Callithrix jacchus: one gene and its partners. The protein of the gene in region 1 interacts with the protein of each later gene in a biochemical or structural test. Links are inferred from orthologs where the notes say so. Each region holds a gene or a part of one and is shown on either strand. Other genes may lie near its edges.

Region 1 (4,306 bases):
TTCAATTCACCAATTCCTATGGAAACGAGGCGATTACTGTGAAGGACTGGTGGCGCTTCTAGATGACGTCTAATGCACCTTTGTCCAATCCAAAGAAGTGTACTTAACATCAGAGATTTCATTGGCTTAAATACAGTCGTAATTTGAGCCAATCGCACAGCTTTATTTTCGCGCCCAGTATTGACTATAAGTAGCCGAGCTCTGGCGACTTTCTCTAAACTGTTCTTCACCCTTTGCAAATTGTTTCTTAATCATGTCCGGACGCGGCAAGCAGGGCGGCAAAGCCCGCGCCAAGGCCAAGACCCGCTCCTCCCGGGCCGGGCTTCAGTTCCCCGTGGGCCGCGTGCACCGCCTGCTCCGCAAGGGCAACTACGCCGAGCGGGTCGGGGCCGGAGCGCCGGTCTACCTGGCGGCGGTGCTGGAGTACCTGACGGCCGAGATCCTGGAGCTGGCGGGCAACGCGGCCCGCGACAACAAGAAGACCCGCATCATCCCGCGCCACCTGCAGCTGGCCATCCGCAACGACGAGGAGCTCAACAAGCTGCTGGGCAAGGTCACCATCGCGCAGGGCGGCGTCCTGCCCAACATCCAGGCCGTGCTGCTGCCCAAGAAGACCGAGAGCCACCACAAGGCTAAGGGCAAATAATGTGTCCATGAATCACTTTCCAGTACAACGGCTCTTTTCAGAGCCACCTACTATTTCTGCGGAAGTGCTGGGCCACTGGTTTAAGTCAAATGTGAATAAGTCGTTTTATATTCTCTGTTTATTCATCCAATGTTACATGTACGCGAGCCAACAATAAAGTCCAGGGCGAGGCGCAGTGACTCGCCTGCAATCCCTACACTTCTGGAAGTAGAGGCAGGAGAATCACTGAACTCGAATTCGAGATCGGCCTGGGAAGCCTAGCGGAACCCCGTCTCGACAAAGATTCGCCGCCGTAGTGGTGCACGCCTGTAGTCCTAGGGCTGAAGTGGGAGGGTTCGCTTGAGCCCGGGAGGTTGAGGCTGCAGTGAGTCGAAACCACGGCACTACGCGCCAGCCTGGGTGACATGTTTTAATTTTTAAAATACCCAAATCGGCATGTAGCTTGAAACTTGCTACTTCCACCAACCTCCTCCATTAGCGGTGTGCGTGGGGAACACATTTTTTAATGCCGAAGCGGCTGACGCCTAAACGGCTTAAACGCGGGGAAAACAGATGGAATAAAAACTGACCAATCAGACTATAGAGCGGGCTTTTTAAGCTTAAACTTCTGTAGCCAGGCTAGAAAGCATGATACGAACTCTGCAGACAGAAGCACTAGCTGGAAGCCATGCTTTGATGACTGACTGCTTTGGGAAATTGCATGAAGGTCCAGACATCACCCCGGGCTCCTGCTTGCCTACCATGACCCCATTAATTAAGCTAAGGGGAGAAAAACTGCCCCAGATAATTCGAACGCCAGGAATCTCTGCTCGTGTTTATTAGCCACACACCTCAGCATAAGGCGGGGTGAGAAGGCAAAGTCACTTGGTGTACAGCAATTTTTTAGAGATCTGTAAGTGGCTCTGAAAAGAGCCTTTGGGGCTTGGTTGCGGTTTTCACATGCCAGCTTCCTACTTCTTTTTGGCAGCCGCCTTCTTGGCCTTTGCAGCTTTAGGTTTTGCTGCTTTCGGCTTAGCGGCTTTGGGCTTTGCTGCCTTCGGCTTAACAGCCTTGGGCTTGGCAGGACTCTTCGTTGCCTTTTTCGGCTTGGCGGCGGCCTTGGCTTTCTTGGGGCTCTTCGCCACTTTTTTGACTCCAGCCGCCGCGGGCTTCTTCGCCTTCTTCGGAGTCTTCTTCACTGCCTTTTTCGCTCCCGCAGCCTTCTTGGGCTTCTTAGGGGTGGCCCCCGCGGGCTTCTTAGCTTTGGCGGCACCCGCCTTTTTAGCCTTGGGCTTGGCTTCCCCGGAGGCCGCCTTCTTGTTGAGCTTGAAGGAGCCGGAAGCACCGGTGCCCTTGGTCTGCACCAGGGTGCCCTTGCTCACCAGGCTCTTGAGACCAAGTTTGATGCGGCTGTTGTTCTTCTCCACGTCGTAGCCACCCGCCGCTAAGGCCTTTTTAAGAGCGGCCAAAGAAAGGCCATTGCGCTCCTTAGAAGCGGCCACGGCCTTGGTGATGAGCTCTGAGACTGGGGGCCCGGTCGCTTTGCGCTTGGCCGCGCCGGCCGCTTTCTTGGTGGTCTTCTTCTTAGCGGGGGACTTCTCCACCGGCGCTGGGGTGGCCGTCTCGGCGGGAGCGGTTTCCGACATGGCTACAAGAAACTGCTAGAAGAGACTAAGCTCGAAATCCAAAGAGCAAGTTTTGCATTGCTACTATGCTCGTGGCCCAGGGCTTATATAAGCCGGAGCTGCCCTGTGATTGGTGGAGCGTCCAATCCACCGCCCTCCGGCCGCCGCAGCTCGCGGTTGGACTCCCAAATTGTGTTTGTTAGTTCTCTAAATTTGATTAAATGCTTGAAATAACGATACAGAATTTGGCACTTTGAAGCTCCAAAGGAGGAAAACAGCCTCCAGGTTCACATACTTGTTTGTGTTTTCACGAATCTCGTGCAATTGGTGAAAGATATTTTTAAAAAATCCCTTCAGCTTTCTCTAAGACTCCATTGCACCGAGGGCATCATGTTGGTTAGTTGGGTGTCATGATAAATTTCTGCTAAGAATCCGGAGAAACTTACTTTTAAAACTTTGCCCGTGAGTTCAGGCTTTGATTTTTGCGAGAGAAAAGACAGTGTGTTTCTTGGTTTGGGCATGAACTTTGTTTCTAACTGTAGCAAGTAACACAGGCACAGGGCAGCTGGTTGCCTACAGCCCCAACTCAACCACATAAGACTTGACTTTACAAACTGATTCTGTCTCAGGAGTTTCCATGTGCTGATGTCTTTACAGAATGGGATTGTGCAGCTTGGAAGAGTTCCACTGTCAGAGTGACTGCGTTGTAGCACGGGTAACACATACCGCTTTAACAATCCAATGCACTGATTCAAATTCAAACTTACATGTGATATGTTTTCTGATTAAAGTGTTTTCACTGTTTAGTTCCTGGGAAAATCCATGAAAATGGGAAAGAAAAATAGTATAGATAATTCAGTTTAGAAAAAATTCAAATCTGTGGAAAATTATTCAAGAGCTCCCAGTGACCCCCAGATGCACAAACTGGTGACCCGGGTCTCTGTCAGGTTTTCAAAATGTTTTCGCTGCGCCCCCTGAATCTCCATCAACATTTAACAAGCTGCATCATCAGGAGTACTCTCTTCTAAAAGCAGCTAGGATACATCAGTATGGGAATGTTTGTGTGTTTAAGTGCAGACAGACTAATATTTTAGAAGACTATCTGGCTATTGACTGTCAAAAGGTTGTATTGGATATTGAGAGACTTCAGATTATAGAGGTTCTGGAAAACAACAGAGGCAAATACAGTGAGGTGGAAATGAACGTGAAGTTTGCTATTTATGGGAGGTGGAAGGGAATGGACAGGATGCCTGAATGATTAAAAAAAAAAATCAGATAATGATTTGGATCTCTAATGAAATAAACAGCCGCTTATTTCTTACCCTGGAAATGCTGTGCCAGAAAATTTAAAGAAGCCAACACAGTCCGCCTTCTCTCTACCAGCTCCTGATGGCCAAATCTGGGCAACGGCTTCTTCCCGTATGGCCCTCAAGCTAAGAAGTGTCTTTAAAAAGGTCACACATGGTGGTTGATGCCTGTAATCCCAGCACTTGGGGAGACCTGGATAGGTGGGTTGCTTGAGCTCAGGAGTTCCAGACCAGCCTGGGCAACATCGTGAAACCCCATCTCTAGTAAAAATACAAAAACCGTTGCCGGGTGTGGTGGCGCATCCCTGTAGTCTTAGCTGCCGGGCAGGTGGAGGTGGGAGGATCACTTGAATTCAAGGTATGAAGGCTGCAGTGAGCAGTGATCGCACCATTGCACTCAAGCCTGGGAGATGAAGCAAGATCCTGTCTCAAAAAACAAAAAAACTAACTAAAAACTTAAAAGAATGTGTGACAGAAACTAGATATGGCCTCTAAACTATTTATTATCTAGTCGTTTTGCTGTGTTATAAATTTCTCCACAGGGACACAGATATTGCTATAGGCCTCTTACCAAACAACGCAAATTGAGAACTAAGGAAGAGGATATCTTCACAAGAAAATACTCCAACCAAGCACTTTCCACTGTTCCGTACAAAAAACTTACAAGATGCAAGAGAAAAGAATCCCAAAACTCCATGGGTAATGGTAGCAGGGGTGTAACAGTAAGAGCTGATACTCATTCAGCATGT
Region 2 (5,846 bases), on another chromosome or scaffold:
CCATAAAAACAGACACCTCCCTTTTGATTTTCCAAATAAAGAGGGAAGGTTAAACATTCTCTTTAACAATGTTAAACATCCACAGTTCCTAACAAAGCAGAATAGCACTAAACTCTAGGCCAAAAATCCAATTATTTCAGAAAAGACCTTTTAATGCCAGGATTAGGTTACAATACTCATCTCTAGCACCACTGCAATATAGGTTCAGTATGCTAGGTTTTATTTTGCCTATTAGACATTTGATAAATTTCTGTAAAGATAATATACACAACTGGAGGTTACATACATTTAGTTTTCTAAGAAGCAATCTGTTTTTCTTTCTAGGAACCCAGTTTCATTCTTTTTAAATTAAGTTCTTTCCTTTTATTCTATTTAGAGCAGTGGTTCTCAACTGGTGGTGATTTTGCCCCACAGGGGACATTTGGAGCCCTATGTAGTTGTAATGAATTGGAAGAAGGGTACTAGTGGCATCTGGTGGAACAGAGGCCAGGGATGCTCAACATCTTACAATGCCCAGGATAGGCAACCTCAACAAAGACTACTAGCTCAAATGTCAACAGTGCTAAAGTTGAGAAATTCTCAGCTAGACATTTCTCATATTTATATTCTTCAATTTTCCCAGTAGGCTGAAGTTTATTAATGTTATGTTAGATATCATTCAACATCTACAAAATGTATTAATGAATCAGGTGACACAAAAATGGTCATGATGGCGATGATTCCAAGAGCAAACAGAACAAATGAAATACCTACTGGTAGGAGAATAGTTATAAGGCTTCCAAGCAAGACTATTACACCTAATATTACAGTTGACCCTTCAGCAACAAGGGTTTGAATTTTGTGGACCCACTTATACACGACTTTTTTTCCCCAACCAAATGCAAATTAAAAAAATACAGTATTCTTGGGATGCAAAATCCACTTATAGAGAGGGTCAACTTTTTGTATACTCGGGTTCCACAGGACCAACTTTGGAACTTGGGTATGCTTGGATTTTGGGATGTGTGGGAGTCCTGGAACCATTCTTTCATTTGCTGAATGGTTACTGTATAACTACACAATATGGACCAATCTGTATTAAATATTTTTAATGAGGAAAAAAGTTCTTGATTATATCCAGAATGATAGCCTTTTTATGAAGTTCGAAAACTAAAAATAAACATTGTTTAAGTATACATTCATAGGGGATAAGCCTATTCTAAAAAGGCAAGGGAAAATAAAACTCAGGATAGCTACACTGAACATGAGTGACAAGAAGAAGGCTTAAAGGATAGGGGAGGAACACGTGTTGATGTAGAGCCATTGTCTGTTTCAGTTTTGGGGTTGGGCAATGGGTTCACAGGTGTTTGTTACATTACTTAACACAAATAAGGTAAAAAACGATCATGATTTGAACAATGGTAACAGTTTATTATGCTAAGGATTATAATGCATCTGATTTAAAAAAGAATTACGTTGAACAAAAAGGCTGTTGAAAAATGAGTATCAAAAGTGAGTATCAATAATAGCAAATAGTAACAGTAAAGATAATAGTAAAAACAAGTAGTAAATAATTACTGAAAACTTATTTTGTGCTGTTTCACTGTTCTAAGCACTTTCTGTGGATTAACTCATTTAATCCTCAACTAACTCATGCACTAGATACTATTAACCTCATCTTGCAGCTAAGGAAACTGAGGCTAACTTCCCTATGTCCCTAACTAGGAAGTGGAAGAGAAAGGATTTAAACTCAGGTTTAAATCCGGCTCCACAGCAGATTCTTCATCACTTCATTATGTTTCTTCTCCAACTGCAAATATGGAACAGTAGGAACATATTAAGCCCTGAGCTATCCTATCTTCTGCTTTTGTAAATGTCTTTGGTCAGAATTTCAGACTGGCTCCAACTTAAGATGTTAGAAAAGGCTTAATCTGCCTTTATGAAACGCAAATTTGCATAACGTTTAGGTTGACTCTGACTGTACTGATTTCCAACCTTAAGCAAGTTACTCAACCTTTCTGTGCCTTGTTTTCTTATCTGCAAAAAGGGCAAAGGGTTGTTACAAGTAATAAGTTATTATATGTAAAAATACACAGAACAGTCCTAGCACATAATACGCAAATGCTGGCCATTATGGCTATAGTCTCTATAGACTCATCATTTCTGGTATTGTATTTCTCGTTAAGCGCAGCACTCCACCAAAGCAGTTCTTCACTGCATCTTCGAAGAGAATGTTTTCAGCTGTGCCTTCACTCACACACTAGTTTAGCATCTCCATAACCCTAACAACTAGAATTTAGGACAGCTGTCCCCTTCAGAGGCTACACTTTTCCTTTACCTGGTACTCCTAGAATGCATGACCCAATATGAAGAATGCCTATACCCATGGCCCTTTAATCAAGTTAATCAAGCCCTCTTAGAATGTCTCACCTGTCCGATTTATAACACTGCCAGAGTAATTTTTCTAAAAACTTTAGTTATCACAATGGCACTTCTTTCCTGCCTGATTCCCCTTATTGCTACTGTAGTGGTTACGGAACTTTCGAAATCGTCGTAAAGTATGAGAGAACGCACACACTTTCTTCCCCTCCTCTCTCAGTAGCGCTTTTATGATTAGCTCCTCTTACTTTCCCATTTCCTTGGCTGCAGCCAAGCCGAACGCTCCGCTATGCCCAAACATCTCCTACACTTTTACGTCTCAGAATCTTACTTCTCTGCCTTCAAAACTCATTTTCAAAGATTTCTCTTACAAGTCTTAACACCCCCTGGGACTTATTAAATCCTCCTTCAGTGTCTCCACAGCACTTTCTACACACAAGTATTATAATCCCAAACTAAAAAGTCACAGTAGAATGCATTTTAGCTTGTGCCTCTCCCCGCTAGGCCGGGGGCTCTAAAAGCAGGAGGGGCAGACGGGTTGACCCCGAATCCGCAGCGCCCCACACAATGTCTGGTATGTAATGGGTTCCCAATCAATCTGGCAGGGTGAGTGAATGAACCGTTGGTTGGCTTAATACGTTTCCCCAGGAAATGCGCCAAGAGGAGCAGGGCCGAAGACGCAGAGGGGCTACTTTCCTGGTCCAAACCCTACAGAGCACAAAAACAGCGACCCTGGGCAGGGCCCCCGCAACAAACCGAAACCCCCGGACACACAGCAAGCTTAATAGGCACTGGCAAAATGAAATGCGCTGCCTCCTGGTGCCCTGGCTGTCACCCAAAGCGCCCCGCGTAGCCCGCACACCCTTTCTGCCAGTACCTGCGGCCCCTCCCCGCCGGGCCTGCGCTTCCCGCCACCGCGTACCATTCTGCAGTTGCAGCGCCACCAGAATGCCCGGATCCGCGACTGCTTCCGGGCGCCACCAACTGCTTCCGGGTTCAAAAGCCTCCAATCCGAATCCCAGCACCGCCCGGGCGCGCCAATTTTAAGGAAAGGTTCCGCCCATGCCCCGCCCCCTGAGACCCGGCGCTTGGCGCATTGAGGCCCCGCCCGCTCCCGGGCAGGGCGTGGTGAAGGTGCGTCGTCCGTCAGCGTGGTCCGCATCTAGGCTTTCTGAAGTATATTCCAGGGTCGCTCCAGAGACCCCCAGGCTACTAAATCTGAATCCGTTCGTGTGGTCCAACCTTCCTCTTCAGGTGTCTAGTAGAGACAGGGTTGGATGTATGCGGCTGCCGTAAATACAGCGCCTTCCTTGTTTTTTCTTCATTTGTATTTACTTAAAATATTAATCCTTTTCTCCTTTTCCTCCATCCCTCTCCCTCCCCAACTGTACAGTTATTGGTTTTCACTAATTCATTTCTGATTATCTCCGAGAAGGAGATAAATGTCTGTGTGTGTGTCTCTCTGTACCGTAGTCTTCTTGTTAGGATTTGGACTGTTTTTTCTCTACACCTCTGATATGCAAAATGTAGTCTCTGAACCAGCAACCTCAGCATCGTGAGGGAATTCGTTAAAAACGCCAAATCTCAGGGCCTACCCAGACTTACTGAATCAGTATCTGCGTTGCAACAAGATCCCCTGGTAATTCCTATGCACATCAAAATTTGGAAGGCACAGCTCTCAACTGATGTCCTTGGGTCTCCTTCACATCTATCCTAGAAAGGTTTTATTCCTTATTCCTGAGATGAGTTCTCTATTTCCTGAATCTGTGTCTTCCTTTTTCTTGATTATATACCCTCATGTTGTGGAACATATCCTCCAGTAGTTCCTTGAGGGAGTTTGCTGCAGGTCTTTTTTCCCGCAGAGTGTGCATGTCTAGAACTGTTTTTATTCTGGCTGAGCACAGAATTCTAGGTTGAAAATAACTTTCACTCGGAATATTGGAGGGCTTGTTCCACAATATCTTAGCTTTCAGAATTGTTGAGAAACTCTACATTATGGTATTTCTTTCTGCCACACAGGTCACTAAATTTCTCGATATGTAACTCACTTTCGTTTCTGTTTTGTCACAAGAAGCTTTAGGATCTTCTTTTTATTCCCAGTGTTCTAAGATATAATCGAGTGTTTTGGTTATGGGTCTTTTCTCATTCCTATTGATCAGTTTTTCAGTCCTGAAACACATATTCTTCAGTTGTGGGAATTCTCCTGGGAGATTTGATCATTTCTCCCCCCCCACCATTGTATCTTTTATTTTTTGAAATTTGTTATTTAGATTGTGGATCTTCTTGGCTGATAGTTTTTCTTACCTGTCTGTCCTACTTTCTATCTCTTTATCTTTTTGTTCTATTTTCTCTGTGACTTTTCCAACTTAATTGGACAAATGACTATCAGATTATTTTTTCTTTTATCATACTGTCATTACTAAGTGCCCTTTTTATTTTCTGTTCTTTTATAGCATTACATTATTTTTTCATGAATATAGCTGCTTTTATCTCTGAAGATGTAAATTATTGGGTTTTTAAAATGCTTTCTACAAAACTCTGCATTGACCTTGATTCTTTCGAGTCTTTTTTGGTTGGTTGGTTATGTTTTGGTCTCTGTTATTTCTGCTAGAGACATTCTTCATCTTGTGTGGTGTTTTTTGCCGTCAATTTATATGTAAAAGTGATACTCTAAAAAGGTGCTTTGGGGAAATAGGCAAGGCTTGTTCACTGCTGGACAACGTGTAAGATGAGGGGGCAAGGACCAGCTGTTTATTTTGTTCTAGAGAGTAATATTCTAATTACTTGCTTTGAGAATATACAGCCTTCGTGGGGTGCCCAATGCGGGAAGGAGGCTGGGAGTCTTAATTTCATCAGATGCTCTGTGTTAGTCGAGGTTCTCCAGAGAAACAGAACGAATAGATATCTGTATCTGTACCTATATCTGTATCTATCTATCTATTAGCTCACATGATTATGGGGGTCAAAAAGCCCTACAATCTGCTGTCTGCAAGTTGAAGACCCAGAAAGCCCATGTTGTAGTTTGTAGCCCGGATAACTGTGAAGCTGGTGGTGTAGATTCCAGTCTGAGGCAGGAAAAAAATCAAAGATTCAGTTCAAGAAGTCTAGCAGAGAGAAAGTGAATCCTCCCTTCCTCTACCATTTTGTTTTATTCAGACCCTGAATGGGTAAGATGATGCCCACCCACATTGGTGAGGGTGATTTCTTTTACTCAGTGCCCTCACAGACACTCAGAAATACTGTTTAACCAGATATCTGGGCATCCTGTGGTCCAGTCAAGTTGACACATATTGTCTGTCAACCAAGGGGAGAGAGGATGATGTTACTCTTATATCACAAGGAATATACACCCCCCCCCATGATATTGTTCATAATATCCAGGAGGGAAGAGGATAATATTGCTTCTCATATCACAGGGGATGTACAGCCTTCTGTGATAGTGTTCATAATAACCAGGAAAGGAGAAGATACTATTACTCTCCATATCA
Region 3 (5,839 bases), on another chromosome or scaffold:
CATTGTTCCATCTGATCTACTGACAGCTAAGACAGACACTCCTTGGAATATACAAGAAATTCTCAGGCTGCTGCCAGGGCTCATTTTTTTCTTGTCTACCCTGTGACTTTGCTCAGGGATTCCACTCTCAGCAGTTCCATCCTCTAGCTCTCTCCATCCTCACATCAAAGCCTCAGGGATATAGAAAGAAGCTTGTCTTCGTAAAATGTGCCAGGACCTCTGTCTTAGATAAAAGACGACTATGAGAAAAGAAATTATTTCATTATACTACTATGTTCCATCTGATTTCTGCTTTTGAGAAATAAACAACCATGGCTTGAGATGCTTTTAGTGTTTCATGGAGAATTGGGACTATTTCCCCGACATGCCCTGCTCCTCAGTTCCTCATTGCTTCTTCCCTTTTTGCCTCGTTGGACTCGAGGGGCGACCGTGAATGGTGAAATTTCTGACCAGGTAGAATACCAGGCAGGTGCAGGCTCCTGAAGCACCAGTAAGACTGACTCAAAAGATTGTAAATGGGTCAGCCAAGAGCATGCGCCACTGATGGCCAGTCAGGAGCGCTTCCATTTGCTAAAATATAAAAGGCATTCCTATCATTAAGCATCACAATTAGACAATCTCAAAGAAAAAAATGTTAGCTCTATTTGGCCTACGTGGTATGCTCTAAGGAAGTATTTTAGAAAAGTTTTTTTTTTTTTTCTTTTAACAAAAATTTATTGACGGATCAAACGTGTTCTCTTTCTTGGTGTCTTTAGCTCGTAAAGTCGTTTTGTGAACTTCCTGAATCTGGCAATGAAATGAAATGGATGAGAAATGCTGAGAGATGATTTTCCTCAAGTATTTCAGCGGCCTCCAGACAGACCTGATAAATATTCAGAGAGTGATTAGCTGGTGCATCCCCACCTGCGTCCTTTGCATAGCCAGGCCCGCTACCATTTCACAGGCAGTTTTACTTGGTAATTTACAAATGTACTGGCTGCATTCTGCACCTGACAGTAGCGCAATAATTAGCTTGGGATGCAAAATGATTTCTAAATTAAGGTCCTGGACTTGTAAAATCAAGAAAGCCTGATAATCAACATCGTTGCTCTGGTGGCCAATGAATAACGGGATAAATGCCTAGGACAAGTCCCTTAACCATCCCACGTGGTGATACATGTCCGACATACAAATTAAAAATCTCTACTACACGCAGGTGAAATACCGTATAGGTCAAGAAGAGAAGACAGGGGAAAGGGTCAGTGCTTAATTATTTAAAATCGCTCTTTTTCTCCTGCAGAAAGGTCTAGAGGCTGGGTCTTTTAGGGCAAACGCTATGAGAGGGACATTTTGGCCAGGGGAGACCTCCAGCTGCTACAGGCTGCTCAAGCAGGGGCGTCGTGCCCTGGAGACACCGGGGGTCCTGAGGATGCGGTAGGGGCTCCCTGCTGCGTGTGCTCACGGGGAAAGGGGTGAGCGCTGGGCGGGAGGCCCGGGGCAGGTGCTGCGCGTGGAGCCCACTCCGGGACGCCGGCTCCTCTCGGCCGGGCACCGGCAGCGCAGAACTCCAAGCCCAGAGCCAAGACAGAGAGAGAGCGGGAGTGGGAGGAGGAAGGCGGGGAGAGGAGGAGGCCGGGCGGCAGGAGCGGAAGAAGAGGAGGCGAGCAGAGGCGGAGGAGGGCAAGAGGGAGGAGAGCCGGGCGCAGGAAGGGGAGGACGAGGAGGAAAGAGAAAGGCGGCGGAGGAGCGCGGACCCGCCACTCCCGGCCTCCTCCCCCGCATCCCCACCTCGGGCCATCCCTCCCCGGGCCGCCGCCGCTTCCTCTGCCCAGTCTTCCCAGCGCCGCGAGGCGCTTGCAGCCTCCTCCCCACTCGACCCGGCCCGCGCGGCGCACTCCCCCCTCGCGCGCCCCCGCCACTCTCGCCCGCGCGGCCTCGCACTCGGGGCATGCGCGGTGGGCGGTGCCGCTCCGGGCCGCCTCTACCGCCGCGAGTAGGAAGCGCGAGCGCCGGGCGCCGGGCTGTCAGTGAGCGTGGGGCCAGCGAGCGAGCCAGCGGCTCCGGCTCCGGCTCTGGCTCCGGCTCCTGCTCCGGCTCCCACTCCCTCTCCGCGCCGCACCGGCCCGACTCTCCCCGGTCCCCGCCGCGCCCCCTCGCCGCCGCGACCTCGGCCCCCGGCCCGCGCCCCCCACCCAGGGTCGCCCCGGGCCCGCGCCCCTCCCCCGCCGCCCCCGCCCCCCCCCGGCCCTCCCCGGCCGCTGCTCCCCGGCGGAGGCAAGAGGTGGTTGGGGGGACCATGGCTGACGTTTTCCCGGCCAACGACTCCACGGCGTCTCAGGACGTGGCCAACCGCTTCGCCCGCAAAGGGGCGCTGAGGCAGAAGAACGTGCACGAGGTGAAGGACCACAAATTCATCGCGCGCTTCTTCAAGCAGCCCACCTTCTGCAGCCACTGCACCGACTTCATCTGGTAGGTGCCCGGCCGGGCGCCCCTGCCCGCTGCTCCCCGCCTCCGGGTCCCGGCCCCGGGCGCTCGGGCGCGTCTGCTCCGGGGCTGGCTCACTCCGAGAACTTGGAGCCGGCGAGAGTCCGAACTCTCGCCCGGAGTGACACGCGCGCCTGGCCCTGACACCCGCGGGCAGGACTCCTGGGACGTCGCCACCCCGCCACACACCCCCTGGCGCGGGACGGAGGCTGGCCCCCTGCGCTGGCGGCGGGGATCGCTCCCCGGGCCGCGTCCCTCACCACCTCCCCATGCTCGCCCACTCGCACGCACCCAGCAGAGCGGCCGCTTGCAGGGATGGGAGCCCAGGAGACAGGGGAGGGGGACAGGCCAAAAGGGGCAGAGGTTCCTGGAGAAACGCGCCCGGGAGTAATGGGGGAGCGGCAGCGATCGCGCCGCGTGCGGTCCAAGTTGCTGGCGAGCCAGGCTGGGCGCGTTCGGGGGAGGGGGTGTGTTTGTGCTTCCAATAGGGCTGGACTGCGCTGGAATCTTGGGCCCCTGCCTACTGTAGGCTGCATCTACTGGGCACGGAGAGACTTTGACTTTTCTAAGTGAGCAGAGAGAGAACAAACTGTTGAAAGCTTGCAGTGGGGGAGGGGAAGTTCTAGCAGGCAAATGGCAGAAGGGCAGAGGAACTCATTTAAAATACACCCTGTTGTCCAGGCGCGGTGGCTCACGCCTGTAATCCCATCACGTTGGGAGGCAGAAGTGGGCGGATCATCTGAGGTCAGTAGTTCGAGACCAGGTTGGCTAGCATGACGAAACCCCATCTTTACTAAAAATACAAAATTATCTGGGCGTGGTGGCACACGCCTGTAATCTCAGCTACTCCGGAGGCTGAGGCGGGAGAATTGCTTGAACCCGGGAATCGGAGGCTGCAGTGAGCTGAGATCGGGCCACTGTACTCCAGCCTGGGTGAGACAGAGCAAGACTCTGTCTCAAAAAAATAAAACAGACCCTGTCAACACGAGATTAGACCTGTAGCCCTGTGGACGAGGACAGAGCTCTTAAGAAATATAATGTCAGGGCCAGAGGTGTCAGAGATCGAGTAACTTCCAATGAATGCAGGCATTCTTAACTCGAGTGGGCCATGCTGAGGGCTTATGGAGAACCCATAGGTAGAAGGGCTTTAGGGGTTTCTGAACCCTGTGGAACTGGGTGAAATTGTGTTTGTGAATCTTTTTCTTTCCTGGTGAGAGAATTACAGCTTTTATCTGATTTCTCAAAAGGTCTGTGACCATTCTTCCCAGATCCCCATCTCCCCACAAAAGTTTAGAAAGCTAGAACTAAAGGAGCTCTAGGTCCTGTAGATAAGACATACCAGTAGTTTGGTTTTTCTCTTAGGTTGCCCGATGTCCTGACTCTTCTACCTCTTCTTTGTGATGTAGGAAAAGTTACCGACAAGACAGAGCTATGGCAAGGGCTTCTAAGCTCCCTCCCCTTCTAGGCTGTAGGGAGCTGCACAGGGTGACAGCCACGGAGTGAATCTTGCCACCAGCCAGCTGTGTGGCACAGGTATCTTGGGCCACTAGGGTGAACATAGTGTGGATGGCTCTGTCTGAATCCATCAAATCTGGGGAAAAACATCCCAAAGGGCAAGTCCCATGATCGTGGTGCTAATATGGTGTTTAATTTTTCCTTTTCTTTTTAGACATCTGCTCCAAAGTACACTTTTCATAAAAGCACAACCACCTCTATGAGTGATTTCCACTGTCTAGTCAGCATATGAAGCGATTGTGCTGAAAGGAGTAGGTAATCGTAGATAAGGCTATTTAAAATAAAAATTTCAGAGCATCAAGGCAAAGAGAATCTTGCATTTGATTAAGAGGAGGTGGTCAGCTGTGAGAGTCCATTAAAAGGGAACAGACTGCTGGTGACTTTTGCAGGAAGTGGGAGAGTTGGACACGGGACTTGCAGCGTACCTAGGCTAGCTAATGTCTTTCAGCTATTAGTTTTCCTTGAAGGATCAGCCCCTGGTGAGCTGAATAGGTGCTCAGGTCACAGCAGTATTGTGAAGTGGAAAAGAAAGGCCTCCCTGAGTATCCCTGCAGCACTCTTCATTTCTTTGTAAACCAGTTGGAAGTCCCAGGAAAACATCCTCGGGGATTGTCTTTTTCAGTTTGCTTTCATTATTGCTTCTATGGGGTCCTTGACTTTCAAGTTCATTTCAATATTGAATCACTGATAGTTTTAAGCTAAATGTTTAGAGTTAGCTGTGGTTTTTGGTGGGGAGATGACTAAGTTAATTTTAAAAGTATGTGAAGTACTTTGTACACTTAAAATTCTATTCGAAGCAAGAGATTATGACTTTCAACCTTCTGAGGAAATTTTGATGCAGTTCATTCTAATGGAACACTAGTTGGCAATTGCATGTCCATGTCGGGGTTCTCTGCTTACAGAGTAAATTCTCTAAAGTAATTTACAAGAACAAAACAGTCTCTGCATGTGCTTTGAATGCTGTTAGTTTTCAGTAGAAATTAGATCATGGTAATCTCAAATTCAAACAGTAGGGTGATATTTTCTAAGATCTGGTTCCTTAAGCCAAAATTAAATGTTAAAAGCGATGCCGTTTGGCAATTTCTGGATGTGTAGTATTTTAAACAAATGCATAATAAGTAAGCCACTTGGTTGTCTTTAGAGAGAAAAAAGCAATTTTCATTTGATCTTCAGGAACAAAATTAAGCTATTTCCTTTTTAAATTTTAACCATAAACTCTTTTGTTACTTGAACATTGTATTGTAGCCAACAACTCTGAATATTCAGTCATGTTCTTGTCTTGAAGTTTTAGTATCAATAACTTAGTATAAAAAATTGGAAAGAAGCTTGATACATTGAAATTGTTCAGTGATCCTTTACAGGCAAGATAGTTTTCCCCCCAAGGTTGAATTTACACAGTAATCTGACTAGATATTTAGGTATTTTTTCCTATTAAATAATTACGTTTCACATACAGACCTTTAGCAGTGGAATACTTGGTCACATAACTTGTTTAAAACATGCTATCCAACACAAAATATGTTAAGATATTTTGTTCTCGTTTTTGTTTTTCAGGGGGTTTGGGAAACAAGGCTTCCAGTGCCAAGGTAAGCTGCCCCTTATGATTTTATTTTCAAGCACAACTTGAAATAAGCATTCCAAACAAGAACAGTATTTCCAGTCTTCTTTTCTTTCCAATTAAAAAAAAAATGTTATTTAGATAATATTTTTGAAATATGAGGGGGCTGTAAATTTGGGCCTTAAAAAAATAATTTGGGCCTACTAATCTGCATATAGAGCTGCTTTTTCTCATTGGGGGAAAAAAAGCCTTCCTGTAATTTTATTTTTTGCTGAGAACATTCTTGTCAGAAGCTGCTGTCTT
Region 4 (5,254 bases), on another chromosome or scaffold:
TCATTGACATATTCATCTCTTTCCTGCTCCTTTTGAGCCTCTCCATTTTTTGTAGGTTCTTTGTTTGAGACAGAGCTTCACTATTCCTCCCCAGGCTGGAGTGCAGTGGTGTGATCTCTGCTCACTGCAACCTCTGCCACCTGGGTTCAAGCAATTCTCCTGTGTCAGCCTCCCAAGTAGCTGGGATTACTGGCATGCACCACCACACCCCTCTAATTTTGTATTTTTAGTAGAAATGGGATTTCTCCATGTTGGTCAGGGTGGTCTCAAACTCCCGACCTCAGGTGATCCAACCACCTTGGCCTCCCAAAGTGCTGGGATTACAGGCATGAGCCACTGCTCCCAGCCCTCCTTTTGGGCCTCTTCTTTTTCTATAGGATTCTTCTGCAAGAAGAGTTCTTTCAGGAGCAGCCTTCTACTTTGGGTTTCTTCTCACGTCTTGTACTTTTTAAAGTTGTGTTCTAACTTTGGAGGATTAAATTTAGTAAATGTGCTGTTTCTCGATGCTTCATTCTTGTTCTGTGAAAGGCCATATATGCAGAGCAACTCCCCCCAAATGTCAAAGGAGCCTAGAAACCAAGGAATAAGGCAGATAAATGGAGTTTGTTGGTATTGGGTGACTGATTAGGAGAAATTTACAGACAGAAGTATGGTCTCGTGTGGCTGAAAGATGTAGATCTCTGCACTGTAACTCCTCATACCCAGGGCTTGGGTATGTATACGTTTTCTTGGGGAAAGTATACATGCTCTAGAAGGAATGTGTGAGTGGCTATGGGAATGCTGCTGACATCACAGCCTATAATGTATATGATAGTATCAAGGGCTGTTTTGGAGGAAAGGCCAAACTTAGTGAACAGGCAGAAGTCACATGGAATTAGCATTTAAAATAAAGTCACTCTTGTCCCCACAGTTCTTAGCTATGTTGCTGTTGGGGTTTAGCCCTGGAGCAGGCAGAAATATTGTAGTACATGGGTTCCAGCTTCTCTGGGAGGTACTGATATTTTCTCTACATAAAGCTCAGGCTCTAGGTTTAAAGGCCTAAGTGAAAAGATCTGAGATGACAGTATAGTATCTTTATTTGGAAGGAAGTGGGCCAGCAGCAGCTGTGGTGAATTGAATATTGTAAGACCTGACAATATAAAAAAGCTGTCACACTGTCCTATCTAATGTCTTTTTTTGTTTGTTTGTTTTTTGTGGTTTTGGAGGCAGTCTTGCTCTGTCACCCAGGCTGGAGTACAGTGGTGCAATCTCAGCTCCCTGTAGCTTCCACCTCCTGGGTTCAAGCGATTCTCATGCCTCAGCCTCCTGAGTAGCTGGGACTACAGGCGCGAGCAACCATGCCCAGCTAATTTTTGTATTTTTAGAAGAGATAGGGTTTTGCCATGTTGGCCAGGCTGGTCTCAAACTTCTGGCCTCAAGCAATCTGCCCACTTCAGCCTCCCAAAGTGCTGAGATTACAGGTATAAGCCACCATGCTGGCCTTAATGTTTGCTTTCTTTCTTGGTGATGGTGTTTGTGGTGACTCTATGAATAACTGAATTAAGAACTTACATAGGCTGGGCGCGTTGGCTCACACCTGTAATCTCAGCACTTTGGGAGGCTGAGGCAGGTGGATCACCTGAGGCCAGGAGTTTGAAACCAGCCTAGCCAACATGGTAGAACCCTGTCTCTACTAAAACTCCAAAAAAAAAGCATTAGCCAGGCATGGTGGCACATGCACTCAGGAGGCTGAGGCAGGAGAATTGCTTGAACCTGGGAGGTGAAAGTTGCAGTGAGCCAAGATCGCACCATTGCACTCCAGCCTGAGCAACAAGAGTAAAACTTCATCTTAAAAAAAAAAAAAACTGATATTCTAAATGCCCCAGTGCTACTGTAGGAAGTAACTGATCTTTAATATATTACATGGAATCATGTTTCTAAGAATAATCAGCATTTTCTTTTACAGGAAGAGCAAGCAGTCAGACCGAAATACCTACTGGGTCGGGAAGTCACTGGAAACATGAGAGCCATCCTAATTGACTGGCTAGTACAGGTCCAGATGAAATTCAGGTTGTTGCAGGAGACCATGTACATGACTGTCTCCATTATTGATCGGTTCATGCAGGTGAGCATTTCAGTAAAAGTTTTCCCTGTTGGGATTCTAGCTGTCATAAGAAAATGACTTTCAGCTAAGATCTTTCTTGGAGGATTTGATGTTATTAAGATTTTGCTATGGAAGAATGACTGTCTGTCTACCTCTTCTCCATCATAGCTCTGTGTCTCCTTTTCACGTATTTTATTCATCCTGTTAAAATTCCCATTGCAGAATAATTGTGTGCCCAAGAAGATGCTGCAACTGGTTGGTGTCACTGCCATGTTTATTGCCAGCAAATATGAAGAAATGTACCCTCCAGAAATTGGTGACTTTGCTTTTGTGACTGACAACACTTACACTAAGCACCAGATCAGACAGATGGAAATGAAGATTCTAAGAGCTTTAAACTTTGGTCTGGGTCGGCCTCTACCTTTGCACTTCCTTCGGAGAGCATCTAAGATTGGAGAGGTAAAGGTTTCTTGAGAAACCTTTTGGTATGGGTACATTAGGGAACACTGCTGCTGACCAAGCAAGTCGAATTCAATTAAGTTGTATTATACCTAACTACATGGGGAAGGGATAAAGATGTTCTTTATTTCTAGTTGGGCTGCATGTTAATATTAGGGATTTCCATGGGCACTTGCATTTGAGTTTGTAGACAAACATTTGTAGTTAAAGATACATATGGGTATCCTTTCCAAAGGAAACTTTTCTGAAAGAAGCTCAGTGATGGGTTTTGTTTCAGGCTGATGTTGACCAACATACTTTGGCCAAATACCTGATGGAACTAACTATGTTGGACTATGATATGGTGCACTTTCCTCCTTCTCAAATTGCAGCAGGAGCTTTTTGCTTAGCACTGAAAATTCTGGATGATGGTGAATGGGTAAGCTCTGTCCCACAAAACTCCTAAACTTTTAAATTGTAAAGAGTATTTGACTGAATACAGGACTTTTGTTACTAAAATCCACTTCAAGTGGTTCATAAATATGGGATCTACTGAAGGAGTAGTTTAAAAAGATGTCTTAGAATGTTTCTACTTCTTTTTGTTTTTAAGACAAGGTCTTGTTCTGTCACACAGGCTGGAGTGCAGTGGTGCGATGCTGGCCCACTGCAACCTCACCCTCCCCTAGCTAGTTTTAATTTTTTTCATGTCAGATGGGTAATATGCCCACATTGTAACAAGGTTTGAGGGTAGCATATTTTACACGTTCACGTGAACACCCAATCATCACACTTATGAACTACAAAAGTGTCGCCCACCAGCCTGGGCAACATAGCAAATCCTCATCTTTACAAAAAATATTTAAAAACATATATATATATATACACACAGGCACATGCCTATAGTCCCAGCTACCCTGGAGGCTGAGCTTTGTAATTTTTGTAGAGACAAGGTCTCCTATCTTACCTAGGCTGGTCTTGGGCTGGGCTCAAGTGATCTGCCCACCTCCACCTCCCAAAGTGGTGGAATTATAGGCATGAGCCATTGCAACCAGCCAAGTGTTTCCATTTCTTTGCCTAATTTCAACTTTATTCCCTTTGATAAAGGTACAATAACTTCTTACAGATGGAGAAACTTGAAGCTCAAATAACATACTAGTAGTTCATATTCATTCATTCATTCAACAAATGCTTCTCCTATCTTAGGAATGGAACTATGACAAAGTTGGCCTCAAGGAAGTGGAGTCTAGTTTTAGCAGGGGGCAAGTCAGCAATTACAATAATGAAATTAGGTGTGAGCACAGGTTCCTATGGAAGCATGAGAGCACCTATTAAAGAGTCTTAGGCTTTGTCTTAAATTTCAATTATATTAATAATTAGTTATGCAGTACTCATCCCTTCCCCACTCCTGCATAACATCTAACATCTAGAAATTTTATGAAAATCATTACTGATTGAGCATTTTTAACATTAACTTTTGTTGTCTTAGACACCAACTCTACAGCATTACCTGTCATACACTGAAGAATCCCTTCTTCCAGTTATGCAGCACCTGGCTAAGAATATAGTCATGGTAAATCAAGGGCTTACAAAGCACATGGTGAGTCAATCTAGTGGCAGTGTAAGATGTTGAAAAGTGAAAAGAATGCAAACATCATGCCTGCAAATGCCTGGTTTATTTTGAATGAGTCAGTATTTTAAATGAATACCTGTATCATTGGATCTTGTGACTTTTTTTCCCCCTCTTTAATGCTTTTGTCTTCCAGACTATCAAGAACAAGTATGCTACGTCGAAACATGCTAAGATCAGCACTCTAGCACAGCTGAATTCTGCACTAGTTCAAGATTTAGCCAAGGCTGTGGCAAAGGTGTAACTTGTAAACTTGAGTTGGAGTACTATATTTACAAATAAAATTGGCACCATGTGCCATCTGTACATACTACTATTGCATTTACTTACTTTTAATAAAGCTTGTAGCCCCTTTTACTTTTTTATAGCCTAGCTCATTTGAATGTGGTTACTTCCTACTGTAGGGTAATGGAAAAGTTGTTTTAAAAGGTATGGTGGGGAATATTTTTAAAAACTGCTTTTGGTTTATCTGGGGACCCAATATGTTTATATACTTGGTTCTTGTTTTATGTACCTGGCTTTTACTTTATTAATATGAGTTACAGAAGGTGATGGAGGTATTTGAAAACTTTACTTCCATAGGACATACTGCATGTAAGCCAAGTCCCTGCCACCATGCCCAGCTAATGTTTTTTCTGTATTTTTTTGTAGAGATGAGGTTTCACCATGTTGGCCTGGCTGGTCTTGAGCTCCTGACCTCATGATCCGCCCGCTTCCCAAAGTGCTGGGATTACAGGTGTGAGCCCGGCAGCTCTGTTTTTAAAGTAAAAGTCTACCACCTCATCCCTAGTCCCCTGTTTTCTGTTTTTTCTGGTGATTGCTCCCATCATTCTAAGCTAATTACTTTTACCACTATTTAAGTTATCAACCTTAGCTAGTGTCTTTTCAAACTTTCACTTTGAAAAATGAGAACTTATATTCTAAGCCCAGTTTTCATTTTGTTTTTGTGTTTTGATTAAGAAAATAAAACAATACTCAAATACAAAAGGTATCTTTTTTAAAAAGTTAATTTGACCCTTATCCTCTTTCCAAATCCCACCCATTTGAAGGACATCAGCAATTATGGATTTATCCTTCCATGTCTTGTATAAATATAGATGTGCATA

The links.
Region 2: the proteins of H1-5 (region 1) and HPF1 form a complex in vitro, tested with the Homo sapiens proteins (2 studies listed by BioGRID). The link is inferred for Callithrix jacchus from reciprocal best matches to the Homo sapiens genes H1-5 and HPF1.
Region 3: of the proteins of H1-5 (region 1) and PRKCA, one has a biochemical effect on the other in vitro, tested with the Homo sapiens proteins (2 studies listed by BioGRID). The link is inferred for Callithrix jacchus from reciprocal best matches to the Homo sapiens genes H1-5 and PRKCA.
Region 4: of the proteins of H1-5 (region 1) and CCNB1, one has a biochemical effect on the other in vitro, tested with the Homo sapiens proteins (2 studies listed by BioGRID). The link is inferred for Callithrix jacchus from reciprocal best matches to the Homo sapiens genes H1-5 and CCNB1.

Annotation. Positions count from the first base shown.
Region 1 is NC_133505.1:3,157,519-3,161,824, reverse strand, and holds H1-5 (histone H1.5), read right to left. Parts: upstream 2,331-4,306; 5' UTR 2,272-2,330; coding exon 1,597-2,271; 3' UTR 1,449-1,596; downstream 1-1,448. Other genes in the region: histone H2A type 1, read left to right, coding at 254-646. UniProt on the Homo sapiens protein: Histone H1 protein binds to linker DNA between nucleosomes forming the macromolecular structure known as the chromatin fiber. Histones H1 are necessary for the condensation of nucleosome chains into higher-order structured fibers.
Region 2 is NC_133502.1:121,469,348-121,475,193, reverse strand, and holds the start of HPF1 (histone PARylation factor 1), read right to left. Parts: upstream 3,325-5,846; 5' UTR 3,284-3,324; coding exon 3,236-3,283; intron 1-3,235. UniProt on the Homo sapiens protein: Cofactor for serine ADP-ribosylation that confers serine specificity on PARP1 and PARP2 and plays a key role in DNA damage response.
Region 3 is NC_133506.1:122,973,165-122,979,003, reverse strand, and holds the start of PRKCA (protein kinase C alpha type), read left to right. Parts: upstream 1-2,002; 5' UTR 2,003-2,275; coding exon 2,276-2,448; intron 2,449-5,532; coding exon 5,533-5,564; intron 5,565-5,839. UniProt on the Homo sapiens protein: Calcium-activated, phospholipid- and diacylglycerol (DAG)-dependent serine/threonine-protein kinase that is involved in positive and negative regulation of cell proliferation, apoptosis, differentiation, migration and adhesion, tumorigenesis, cardiac hypertrophy, angiogenesis, platelet function and inflammation, by directly phosphorylating targets such as RAF1, BCL2, CSPG4, TNNT2/CTNT, or activating signaling cascade involving MAPK1/3 (ERK1/2) and RAP1GAP.
Region 4 is NC_133503.1:140,367,738-140,372,991, reverse strand, and holds the end of CCNB1 (G2/mitotic-specific cyclin-B1), read left to right. Parts: intron 1-1,945; coding exon 1,946-2,104; intron 2,105-2,305; coding exon 2,306-2,542; intron 2,543-2,819; coding exon 2,820-2,960; intron 2,961-3,226; exon of another isoform or gene 3,227-3,330; intron 3,331-4,007; coding exon 4,008-4,118; intron 4,119-4,284; coding exon 4,285-4,386; coding exon of another isoform or gene 4,387-4,392; exon of another isoform or gene 4,393-4,459; intron 4,460-4,799; coding exon 4,800-4,805; 3' UTR 4,806-4,935; downstream 4,936-5,254. UniProt on the Homo sapiens protein: Essential for the control of the cell cycle at the G2/M (mitosis) transition.